2 linked regions of the Mus musculus genome follow. The protein of the gene in region 2 interacts with the protein of the main gene of each other region in a biochemical or structural test. Links are inferred from orthologs where the notes say so. Each region holds a gene or a part of one and is shown on either strand. Other genes may lie near its edges.

The links.
Region 1: the proteins of Ipo13 (region 2) and Magoh form a complex in vitro, tested with the Homo sapiens proteins (2 studies listed by BioGRID and IntAct). The link is inferred for Mus musculus from reciprocal best matches to the Homo sapiens genes IPO13 and MAGOH.

What each region holds. Positions count from the first base shown.
Region 1 is NC_000070.6:107,877,818-107,883,673, reverse strand, and holds the start of Magoh (protein mago nashi homolog), read right to left. Parts: upstream 3,920-5,856; 5' UTR 3,817-3,919; coding exon 3,729-3,816; intron 2,782-3,728; coding exon 2,723-2,781; intron 607-2,722; coding exon 496-606; intron 1-495. UniProt on the Homo sapiens protein: Required for pre-mRNA splicing as component of the spliceosome. Plays a redundant role with MAGOHB as core component of the exon junction complex (EJC) and in the nonsense-mediated decay (NMD) pathway.
Region 2 is NC_000070.6:117,911,688-117,917,603, reverse strand, and holds the start of Ipo13 (importin-13), read left to right. Parts: upstream 1-2,604; 5' UTR 2,605-3,232; coding exon 3,233-3,316; intron 3,317-5,094; coding exon 5,095-5,831; intron 5,832-5,916. UniProt on the Homo sapiens protein: Functions in nuclear protein import as nuclear transport receptor. Serves as receptor for nuclear localization signals (NLS) in cargo substrates.

The DNA.
Region 1 (5,856 bases), about 10 Mb from region 2:
TTTTGCTTTTTTGAGATGGGTCTCACTATATAACTTTGATTGGCCTACAATTGCTAAGCAGACCCAGGTTGGCCTAGAATCCACAGAGACCCGCCTACCTCTGCTTCTCTAGTGCTGGGATTAGATGTGTACGCCACCACAATTAGGCCTCCCCCGCCTCCACACCCCTAGCATTAGGATAGAAACATGGGGCTATACAAGACAGGAGAAACACAGACTACAGAAGTCTGGAATACAAGAGTAAGTAGCACACAAGGTGGAATTATCTTGTACTTTTTTAGTTATCAAAATGGTAATAAAGGACTGGGAAGTTGGCTCAGTTAAGAACACTGATTGCCCATCTAGAGGACCTGAGTTCCATCCCCAACACCAACATGGAATTAATGATTCCCTAGAACAGGGTATTCCTAGTTCTGTAGGGACCCCTCCTCCCATAGAGCAGCAGTCCTCCTCCTCTTTGTAAGAAGTACAAAGTAGAGTCAATAAAGCACTCACCTGCCGGCCCACGCGATCAGGAGGGGGCCACAGAGCATCATCTTCTTTGGTGATTTCACTGTCATCAATAATTCTCTTTAACTCTTCCATCACACTTTTATGCACATAAGCCTGCAATCAAGTTTAAAATGTATGAGCCTAAAGGGGCCATTCTCCTTCAAACCACCGCACCCCAACAACATCCAACTCAGAAAGTAATAGTGAGAAGAGTGAGAGGCACAGCCTTTAGTAAAGATCAGGGCTCAAGGGCAGAGGAGGCAAGGGAATTATCTGGTCCCCTTTCGCCCCTTTGTCATGTGAAGAACAAAGTTTGTTTTGGGAGGCTACAGCAATAAGACACCATATAGAACAGATGGGGTCCTCACCACACAACCAACCTGACAGGGCCTTGGAATTCACTGAGAGGTGAATCTATTCTTTGTACCCAGTCTCAGGCATTTTAATATAGCAGTGCAAATGGACAGAGATACACCTTTACTCTATGGCTTGGACATGATTTCAGTGTGGCCTTCCCAACTCCATTTATGTGACTAAAGGTTTGGTCCTCAGGGTGGTACTATGGGAAATGGTATAGACCTTGAAGAGGTGGGAATTAATGGTGGGTTCTTAGATCATTGCAGCATATCAGCAGAGGAATTGTGGGCCTCCAATGTCTGTGTGTTTCTCTCCTGGTGAGAGAGGTCACTGCGTGGCCACACACCCATTCTCACTACTGCAGCGGTGTTTGGATTTTGAACCTCTGGAGTGATGAGCTAAATAATCTCTTCTTTATTTTTGAGAATTTCACTGAGCCTCACTGGCTTCAAACTTGCTATGAACTAATTATTTCTTTTAAAAAGGCTTTTTCAGGCAGAGTTTCTCTGTACAGACCTGGAACTTGCTCTGTATATCAGGCTGTCGTCAAACTCAGAGATTCGTCTCATTCTGCCTCCCGAGTGATAAAAGTCTTATACCATCACCACCACCATTACTGAGTCCAACTTGAATTTCTAATCCCCATGCCTTCAACTACAAAGTCATGGAATTGCAGGTCTGTATCATTCCTGACAATAATCCGGCAATAGCCTCTGTCAGATATATTGTTATAGTGGTAACAGACAACTGATACACCCTGCTGCTTACAGACAAGGTTTCATGCCTCGCAGCCTGGCCTTGGTGATCTTAAACTTCTGAGCTTCTTGCTTTCACCTCCCCAGTGCTGACATATAAACATGGCTACCATGATCAGTTTCTGTGATGCTAAGGATGAAGCCCAGGGCCTCATGAAGACAAGCACTCTACCAACTGCTTCTGAGGAGCACTAGGTCATGCAAACAAACAACCCAAACCAAACAAAGAGAAAAAGATATGATGCTGATTCGGCATAAAATTAACTGCTAAATTGTATGAAGACATACTGTCATATCCTTAATGATATAGTAGAAATCCCAGCAGAATGGAACACATGACCTTTACTGAGATTCAGATATGCCCAAATGCCTATCATTATCTCTTACAAGCAAGAGTAACTATCCTCAGATTTAATATCTAGGCCATGATTTTCCTGATTGAAAGTATGGCAGAATACTTTGTCACATGGGCTTTTTATAATCAGGATTAAACAACATATTGTTTGAACGAGGTTATTCACACTCTGAACCTAGATGGGTTTCCACAGTAAAAGGAGGCAAAATGATTTGCTCATCTATGAGTACGCTGCCACCCCCATCCCCCGCCTTCTTCCACTCCCCAGTGTGTGGATCAGGAGGGGGCTCTGAGGTGGGAGAGTAGTAGTAAATGTCTATGGTTTAGCTCTAAAGAGCGTAATTCGAGGTTGAGACTTTCCCCTGATCCGTTTCCTCTTCAGAAGCAAAGTCAATGCTGTCTTCATAGTCTATGTACTAGGGACTAATATATTTAATTCTATGATAACATTTGGGAGTCACAGGTAGGTTTTCTTATCCTTTGTTTTACAGATGAAAACACAGAGACCAAGTTCAGCCAGAGAACTTGTTTTGAGGTCACATGGTCAGTATGGGGCACACCGAGGGTACAAACCAAGACACACAGATTTCAAACACTTACTAGCTTTTGATTCAGCACTGGGGGGGGGGGGGGAGTGAATCAGAGAAATAATCTAGCTGCTTAGAAATAAGTGCTCGCTTCCTACACTTCATCTTTCATTACCAGAGAGAACATAAGCAATGGGAAACCAAAGGCTAAGTCGTAGTGAAGGAAAGGTCTGTACCTCTTTCCTGATCATGACGTCATTTTTGTAATTGCTGTTGTTGGCGTATCGCAATTTACCTTCGGAAGAAAAAAGAAAAAAAAAAAAGAATGCAACGTATTAGAAAACATGAACAAAGCACCATTACCCTCCAAAGAATATGAGCTTTGCCTAAATTATATCGAATGTTTCAACCCATTTCCCAGCTGTGATAGTAGTGTTTTTGGTACTTCACTTGAAACTACTGAACAACAGAAGAAGGACCTGACAGTAAACTAGAGTCCCGGGAAAAGGCTGCCATGATGTAGCAAAAGAACACGTTCTCAGCTGTAAACAGGAATTTTAATGCTATCTTAGCTGCACAGAGAAGAACATGCTGATGTTCAACTGGGTTGGGAAAGGACTTTGAAAACTAAGGAAGCTGTATGCAAGCAAGCACTACAAACACCTGTATAGCGAGGCTCTTGACTAACATCACCCCCTACTACTGTCTCTCAGTCACCCCAGTGACCACCTGGATATGTCTGGCTCTTTGAGGTCCTATGACACTTGCTACTCCTGTAGATGCTTTTCTTCCTGTACTTCAAAAATTGATCCCTTTTCAATTACGGCTTAATTCAAATTCACACTCCTCAGACTGCTCTTTAAAAGCGACCTTACTTTTTGATCACTCCACACTACAAGAGATCGCTGTGGTTTCTTCCGGCTCTGAAACACATGTTCCACGAGAGGGGAAAATTTATTTTTGTTGCTCTGTCCCCAGACTGGAAAACAAACAGCCCATTCTCAGATGGACATTAAATCTTTGTTGAATGTAAGCAACCTGGCTTTTTAAAAAGCTACGAAGGAGAATCGCCAGCGGATGAAGAGAAAGAACCAATGAAGCCGACAAAAGAATGCCTCTTTCACGACCCAACAGCACGGTGGTCGGCGTCCCTTGCTTCGCTTCGCCACATTCCGCAGCCCGCCTTCTCTCCGCCCTCCCCGGGGCCGGTCCCACTGCCCGCAGCCGGGAGGCCGCTCTTACCGTCAGGTCGGAATTCAAACTCCAGGAACTCATGACCGAACTTGCCTTTGTGGCCCACGTAGTAACGCAGGTAAAAGTCACTCTCCATGCCTCGCAAGGGACAAGGAGGACGGAACTTTAGGAACGGATGACACTACCACGGCCTGCGGTCTACGTCTTATACTGGCGTAATGGTGGCGCGCGGAAATGACGTCTGCCACCGCGACACTAAGAGTTTCTCACTCTCCGGAGGCGGGAACGAGATTACCACGCCCCCTCCCCTAGACGCTGGGTCAAGATCGCCACGCCCCCTTGGTTGTATATCGAGAGTTCTGGAAGATCTTGGGATCCGAGAACTGCATCTGGGTTTCAGCCCAACACTGAGCGCTAGAGTCCTGTCAGGCGCAACCTCAATTTAAAGAGACAAGTGAGTCGAACGAGGTTATTCACACTCTGAACCTAGATGGGTTTCCACAGTAAAAGGAGGCAAAATGATTTGCTCATCTATGAGTACGCTGCCACCCCCATCCCCCGCCTTCTTCCACTCCCCAGTGTGTAGATCAGGAGGTGGCTCTGAGGCGGGAGATTAGTAGTAAATGTCTAAAGAGCGTAATGAGAGTTTGAGACCAGTGGCTGCATACTAAGACCCTGTCCCGAAAAATAAAGTTGGCTTTACTTAGCTGTCTTTTAAGAATGACTCCTTTCCCATTCCACAATGTTGCCTGAAACTTGCCTGCATTTAGCTAACATCCCTTTCTGCTATTTCTTTATTTTACGTGTAGGCAGAGTACTGCTACCTGATCCAGACTGACCTGAAACCACAAACCCTCCTACCTCATCCTCACGAGGGTCACCACTCATGAACGAGTTGCCTTTCATTCTTCCCTTTCAAGCTAACATGTCTAGATAGGTGTTGTGGGTCGGTTAAATGAATGTTGGATCCCTACTAGGCTTTTTTGTCTTGTTTTGTTTTGTTTTTCGAGACAGGGTTTCTCTGTGTAGCCCCGGCTGTCCTGGAACTGACTCTGTAGACCAGGCTGGCCTCAAACTCAGAAATCCACCTGCCTCTGCCAAGTGCTGGGATTAAAGGTGTGCGCCACCACCGCCCGGCTCCTACTGGTCATCTTATTTAGCAGCGATTCTCAGCCCTAGCCACATGCTGACAGAATCCAGTTTCACTGAAGCCTCTAAAAAAATACCCAGGTGAGAACTGGGCATGGTGGCCAATGCCTTTGATCCCAGCACTTCAGAGGCAGAGTGGAGTAGACCTCTGTGAGTTTAAGCCTAGACTGCTCTTTGCATAGTGAGTTCCAGGCCAGTCAGGACTACCAAGTAAGATACACACACACAAACTGAAACAAAAACGAGGTGGGTCAAATGTGGAGACCACTACCCAAGAGGTTCATTTTCAAGAGCCAAAGTTGACCTCTGTGAAAGGTCAAATTTCTGGTGCGGGAATTTTAAGGTCAAGTAGGTGAAATACGGTAAATTCTAGTCATAGAAGATTGACACACGACAGGTGTGGTGGCACATGCCTTTAATCCCAGCACTCAGGAGGCAGAGGCAGGCGGATTTCTGAGTTCGAGGGCAACCTGGTCTACCGAGTGAGATCCAGGACAGCCAGAGAAACCCTGTCTCAAAAAAAAAGAATTGACACACATCGTTACCAGAGATGTCGTCTCACCACTCTCTGCCCTGCCACTGGTTTGTTTCTTGTTCTCTGAGACAGGGTCTGGCTGTGTAGCCCTGGCTGGCCTGAAACTCACTATATTGGCCAGACTGGGCTGGGGTACAGATATCCACCTGCCTTTGCAGGACTCTAGAGGAGTCCTGGTATTAAAGGCGTGTGCCACCACCTTGCCTGGCTCCTACTGCACTTTAGAAAGATCACTTTGGTTGTCATGTAAGCCGACTGGAAAATAGGAAGGCCAGAAGTGCAATTGTTATGGAGATAGGTAGTCGTTAAGGAAATCCATGAAGGTAGTACTGTGGTGGTGATGACCCATGTGTAGGTAGTGGCTGCAAACTGGAAAATGAGTGGATTTGAAGTGAAATACCTTAACATAAAGGGTAGGTGTAATGGCTATTCCTGGTTGTCAACTTGACTATATTCAAAATGAATTACAATCCAGAATTGGAAGGCTCACCT
Region 2 (5,916 bases):
CAGTTAACCAGCCCACTATAGCATCTGTATCAGTTCCTGCTTCCAGTCCTGTGTGGGGCAGTAGACTGTGAGGAAGCCTGATAAGGTTGAGCTGGGTTGGAAGCCCCAGGACCCAAAGGGGAGGTAAGAGCTTCGCCTGCTCTTGATGTCAGGTCCGTCATGGAGCCCCAGCCCCAGAGACCATGGGTCACATAGGGGCAGTGACTCCAAGCTCCTCCCCACGTGTAGATGAGGCATCCCAAATATCTCCAAAGAAGCCAATAGGAAGCACCTGCTGTCAGACCCCAACCCATCCCAAAACTGTATATAAGATCCTATCCAGAAGGAATCAAGGTGTGTGGCAATTACTCTGTCACCTGAGAGCATCTGTCACAAGAGCTGTAACAATTCCTGGGAAGAGAACGCTCTCCCAAGGCTTTCACCACTAGCAGCTTCGTCCCTGAACCTCTGCTTGCTAGCTGAGCCCTCTGCTGCTCTTCTCTGCGCACGACTTGGCTGGCCAAAGATCTCTGAGGATAGCATCTGGTATGCAGACTGGCTGGCCATGCTTGAGTTCCTGTCCTGGCTTCTCCAGAGATGGACTATAATATGGGATTGTAAGATGAATAAACCCTTTCCTGCCAAATTTGGTCATGGTGTTTTGTTACACCAATAGAAACCCTAAAACGGTTGTGAACCACCTTGTGAGTGCTGGGAATTGAACCCAGGTCTCTGGAAGAGCAGCTGGTGCTTTTTTTTTTTTTTTTTTTTTCCGAGACAGGGTTTCTCTGTGTAGCCCTGGCTGTCCTGGACTTCACTCTGTAGACCAGGCTGGCCTCAAACTCACAGGGATCCAATTGGCTTCTTTAAAACGCTTAAAACATTTTCTTTTTTTCCTTTTGGACAACGATTTGCTGACTCATTGTGATGGATGGACTTCCTCTAGCAGCCAAGTGAGTCCTTCTCCTTCCCAGGCTTTGAGGATTCGTCAAGATCTTGTCAAGTTTCTTCGACCTTCTCTGGCCTCAGCAGCTACTTCCAGAGCCAGCTTCCTCCCTTAGAGCACAAGTGTCACCTGGTGTGGTGGGACACATGTAAAGCCCTGTATAGTGACTCCAGCTCTTGTCTTAATCTGTTTCCTCCCCAGGTTTACAAAATTGCTGCTCCTCCTGACGGTATGCCAGCCCTTCTTATTCTTACCCAACTTTGCTACTGCTAGAAGGCTGTGTTGGGAAGAGTTTAGTCAATAAGGAGAGAGAAGCCATATAGTAAGCCCAAATTGAGCTTAATATAATTTATCTAAAAAAAAAAAGTTTTAGGCTGGGCATGGTGGTACATAACTTTAATTCTAGCACTTTGGAAGCAGACACAAGTGGGTTTCGGTGAGCTGGAAGCCAGCCTGGTCTACAGAGTTTCAAGATAGCCAGGGCCTCACAGAGAAACCCTGTCTTGGAAAAAAAGAAAAGAAAAGAAAAAGAAAGATCCTTCTGTTTGAAATCATTTCCTTTCCTGCTGACAGGAGTCAAGGAAAGAAAAAGTTGAGCATGGAGAGGAAGTGCCTGCTGGGAGCAGGGCTTGCCTTCCTCCAACCTCAATTTCCCCATTTTAGCTGAAGACAATGAATAAAAATACCCACTCAAGCCCGGGCTACATAGTGAGATCCCCGCTTGAAAACAAAGAAGGTGGAGGATGTGGTTCAGTTGACAGGGTGCGCGGGAGGCACAGCACTTCAGACACCCATCTTGGTGGCACACTCCTGTAATCCCGGGAGTGCTGGGATTAAAGAGGTACACTCCCCACCCCAAGGCAAGAGACTCCATCTCAAAACAAACCAACCCGCCACAGCAGAATAGAGAGAGAACAAAACCTAAGGTAAAGCCATGAGCTATTCTTACTTGAAACATAATGAAAACCTTAACGATTTCCCTTCTCCTCCTCGTTTCACACACACATACACGCGCGCGCGCAGAATAATATGATTTCCCGGTTGCTCCCGAGCAGATCCACAGTGCTTTTTTTTTTTTTTTTAATTGTGGGGCACCAAGTAACTCCTATCTTTCCTCTTCTTTAGCGGGTGCTGATGGTCACCAACACAACCAGTTCCCTGTGCCTGAGCGCCGACCAAACGTGACCCTCTCCCCTCCATTCTTGGCTTCCAACTCCACCCAAAGGCCCCATGAATCACGTCTTCGCAAGAGTTGCACTCCTAGGCAATGTGACTGAGCAAGATGGTCCTCTGCCCTAAGCCGAGAATAGGATAGGGTTCCATAGGACCCCCAACCCACGTGCTCCAAGCCTCCCTCCTCAGGAGCCACCTTCCGGTCCGACGAAAACTACATTTCCCAGGGTGCATAGAGGCGGGTCCTTGCTTCAGGCAGGGGCCCCTGGCGGTGTGCCGTTCCGTCGCCTGTTCGGGGGCGCGCGAGCTAGCACGAGGACAGGGCCAAAGACCCGGAATGAGTTTCCGCGTAGTTCCGCCGTGCCGTGTCTCGATGTGCTTGGCCGTGCCGGGCCAGGACAAGCGTGGGTGGGGGCCTAAGTTGGTGGTACTGGCGACAGGCGCTCGGGACAGCCCGAGTCTTGCTGAGGTCCCCGCCCCGTCCCGGCCGGGCCGGCCTGTCTGTCAGTCACTGGGGCGGAGGCAGCGACCGTAGCGGGGCCAACGCCGGGAGGCGAACAGATCGCGGGCCAGGCGAACGGAGGGGACCTATCTCAGTCCCCCAACTCTACCGACTCTGCCCCAGACTCACGAAACTGCAATCCCGTGCTTCCTTGGACGTCTCCGTATCTCGCGAAGGGCTCTCTCCCGGGTGATCTCCCAGCCCCCCTGACCTCATAGCATCTAGAAGCTCGTCCAGACTGGGGTGTTATGGGTACAGGCCGTTGATTCTGTGACCCCTCACGGGCCAGGGCCTCTGTTTCCCCTATAGGCCTCCCTCCCCTATGACTTTTGATTCAAGGGACAGAGCTGTGACCTCCCACTAGGACCCTTGTCTGGGAGTACCTCACGGACGCCTCCCTTCTGGGAGCCGCCTTAGCGGGTCCCTTTCCGAAGAGCACATCTTTTGACCTCTGCAACCCACTCCCCCTCCAAACGAGGTGGGCAGGCCTCGGCAGCCATGCCCGCCCTGGGCATCCCCTCATCCCACCACCTCCCGGGTACTCAAGCCGGGGTCTAGCAGGGGGCCGACAGCCAAAGGGCTGGGGCAAGAAAGAGATCAGGGTCCACCTCCCTGCCAGGCAGGGAGCAAAGATGGAGCGGCGGGAGGAGCAGCTGGGGGCTGCAGGGGCTGGAGCAGCACCAGCCTTGGACTTCACTGTGGAGAACGTGGAGAAGGTATGAGGGCCTTGGGGTGGGCACTCCAGTGACAGAGCAGAAGTTCTGGGGACTGACACTAATGCCAAAGCTCAGACGCGGGCTCAGTGCCCGCTGGGATGATGCCCCCAGAGCACCTGGTATTTACCATCTCTCTTGGGCAGCCGGCTTGGACAGCAGTGTTGCAGTGCCTAATGGGCTATTTTGGGCTTTCTGTAGACACAGGTCCCCTTTCGGATAGATACTCTAGGATCTTAGGTTGTTCCCTGTAGGGTGCTGAAGGGTTTAGACTTATAACCAAATCGGCTCCTGCCCAGATCCAGGAGAAAAGCAGGCGGAGTTCTGGAGGGAACCAGAAACTCACAAGACCTGCCACTCAGCCACCCCCACCCCCACGTTAGAAACCACACGGATGCTGAATGATCCTGGACCCGACTCACTTTTTTTCAGTCAAAGGCTCACAAAGATATCTGGAGCTAAACCCGTCTGAGTTATATGTTCATTTATCTTCAGAAAGGGTCTTTTCCTTATTGGATGGAAGTCAAACCGGTCCTGGACAGGCAGGAGTGTGCCTGGCTCTCTTGTTTTGTGCTGGGTCCAAGGGGCTTGGCTCTGCTGGCAACTTTACAGGGCCCTTCCTTCCTTACCTGCCCACATGGCTTTCTGCCATGGCCTCCTTCCAGACTTCTCCATTGCCCAGGCCATCTTTTTCTATTCTATTCTTCTCCCAGCAGCCTGGAATGCAGGAATGCACCCGCCCCACCCCCAATACTCCCAAGGATGATCCGAGAGGTAGGGGTATCCTACTGGATAGCAAGGGGCAGTCATAGAAAAACATTTGTTGTTCTTGAGGCTTGTTTACCTAACAAATGTTGAGAACACATATCTTCTTGTTCGGTCTCTTGTCTCCTTTTGCTTCCTTGAGTGGCTGGCTGTACAAGGGACAGTAGCCATAACTGGCTTTCAGGGGGCGGGAGGGTACAGATTTGGTTAATCCTAGTTGGATGGAGTCCATTTAGGGAACCTGGCTGGCCCTTGGGGCTGGACAGTGTTGGCATGGTGGCACATGGTTGGTTTCATGTGCTGCCAGGGAGATGAGCCATTGTTTTCTCTCTGCATGAAGTCCCAATGGAGTTGGGCCTTGGGGATTCTGCTGCTGACAGCTCCCGGGTAGGCACTTGCTTAGGCTGCTTCTGGCCAAGGCCTCTCTGCATCATCTGATTGGAGACTTACTTGTACTCTCTGAAGATGTATGTTCCCACCCTCCCTTCCAGTGTATCCGTTCCAGAGCTACCTGGCCTGAAGCAGTCCTTCTCAGATTTCATACTGGCTTTAGTGCCAGCCTCTGGAGTGACCTCGGGATGATCCTGGGGGAGCAGATGGAGTTTGCTTGTTGGAATCAATGGGAGGAGCTGTATCTAAAGAGCCAGGCTCCTTCAGGCTGTTCTGTACTTGTCTGGAGCTTACATTTATTCCCCGTGGAGTCATTCCCTCCTCCTAGGCCTTGCCCTTACATACCTCCCTGTGGGACGAGCCCAGCCCCGGCCTTTTCTGCTTTCCTGTGGAGAGTCCCTCTCAGAACCCGTTTGTACTATAAGAAGAGAATATGATAGAGCATGGGCAAGATTCAGGCTTTCAAAAGGTCAGCGGAATCCTGAGCTCTCTCCCTTCCTACTCACTCCGTCTTCCCCCAAGTCAGGGAGAGGCAGCATCTTGCAGGACCGAGTCCCACCCTCTGTTCTGGGCTCTGGCAGGATCCAGAGTAGCCAGCACCTGCTCAGTCCTGTGCTGTCCTGCAGGCGCTGCACCAGCTCTACTACGACCCCAATATTGACAACAAGAACCTGGCTCAGAAGTGGCTGATGCAGGCCCAGGTCTCTCCACAGGCCTGGCACTTCAGCTGGCAGCTACTACAGCCAGACAAGGTGCCCGAGATCCAGTACTTTGGGGCCAGTGCCCTGCACATCAAGATCTCTCGCTACTGGAGCGACATCCCCACCGACCAGTATGAAAGCTTAAAGGCACAGCTCTTCACCCAGATCACCCGCTTTGCCAGCGGCTCCAAAATTGTGCTGACTCGGCTGTGCGTGGCGCTGGCCTCACTAGCTCTCAGCATGATGCCTGACGCTTGGCCATGTGCTGTGGCAGATATGGTTCGGCTCTTCCAGGCTGAGGACTCGCCGGTGGATAGCCAGGGCCGTTGCCTGGCCCTGCTAGAGTTGCTGACAGTACTGCCCGAGGAGTTTCAGACCAGCCGCTTGCCCCAGTACCGCAAAGGTCTGGTGCGGACCAGCCTGGCTGTGGAGTGTGGGACTGTCTTCCCATTGCTGGAGCAACTGCTACAACAGCCCAGCTCTCCTAGCTGTGTGCGTCAGAAGGTGCTCAAGTGCTTCTCCAGTTGGGTGCAGCTGGAGGTACCCCTGCAGGACTGTGAGGCGCTCATTCAGGCTGCCTTCGCCGCTCTGCAGGACTCAGAGCTCTTTGACAGCAGCGTGGAGGCCATTGTCAATGCCATCTCCCAACCTGATGCCCAAAGGTGAGTTACTCTCCAGCTTCCCAGAAAGGGAGCGCCCCATCCATCCCGTAGGCATCAATGGGGTGTCTGTCATACGCGTCATCCT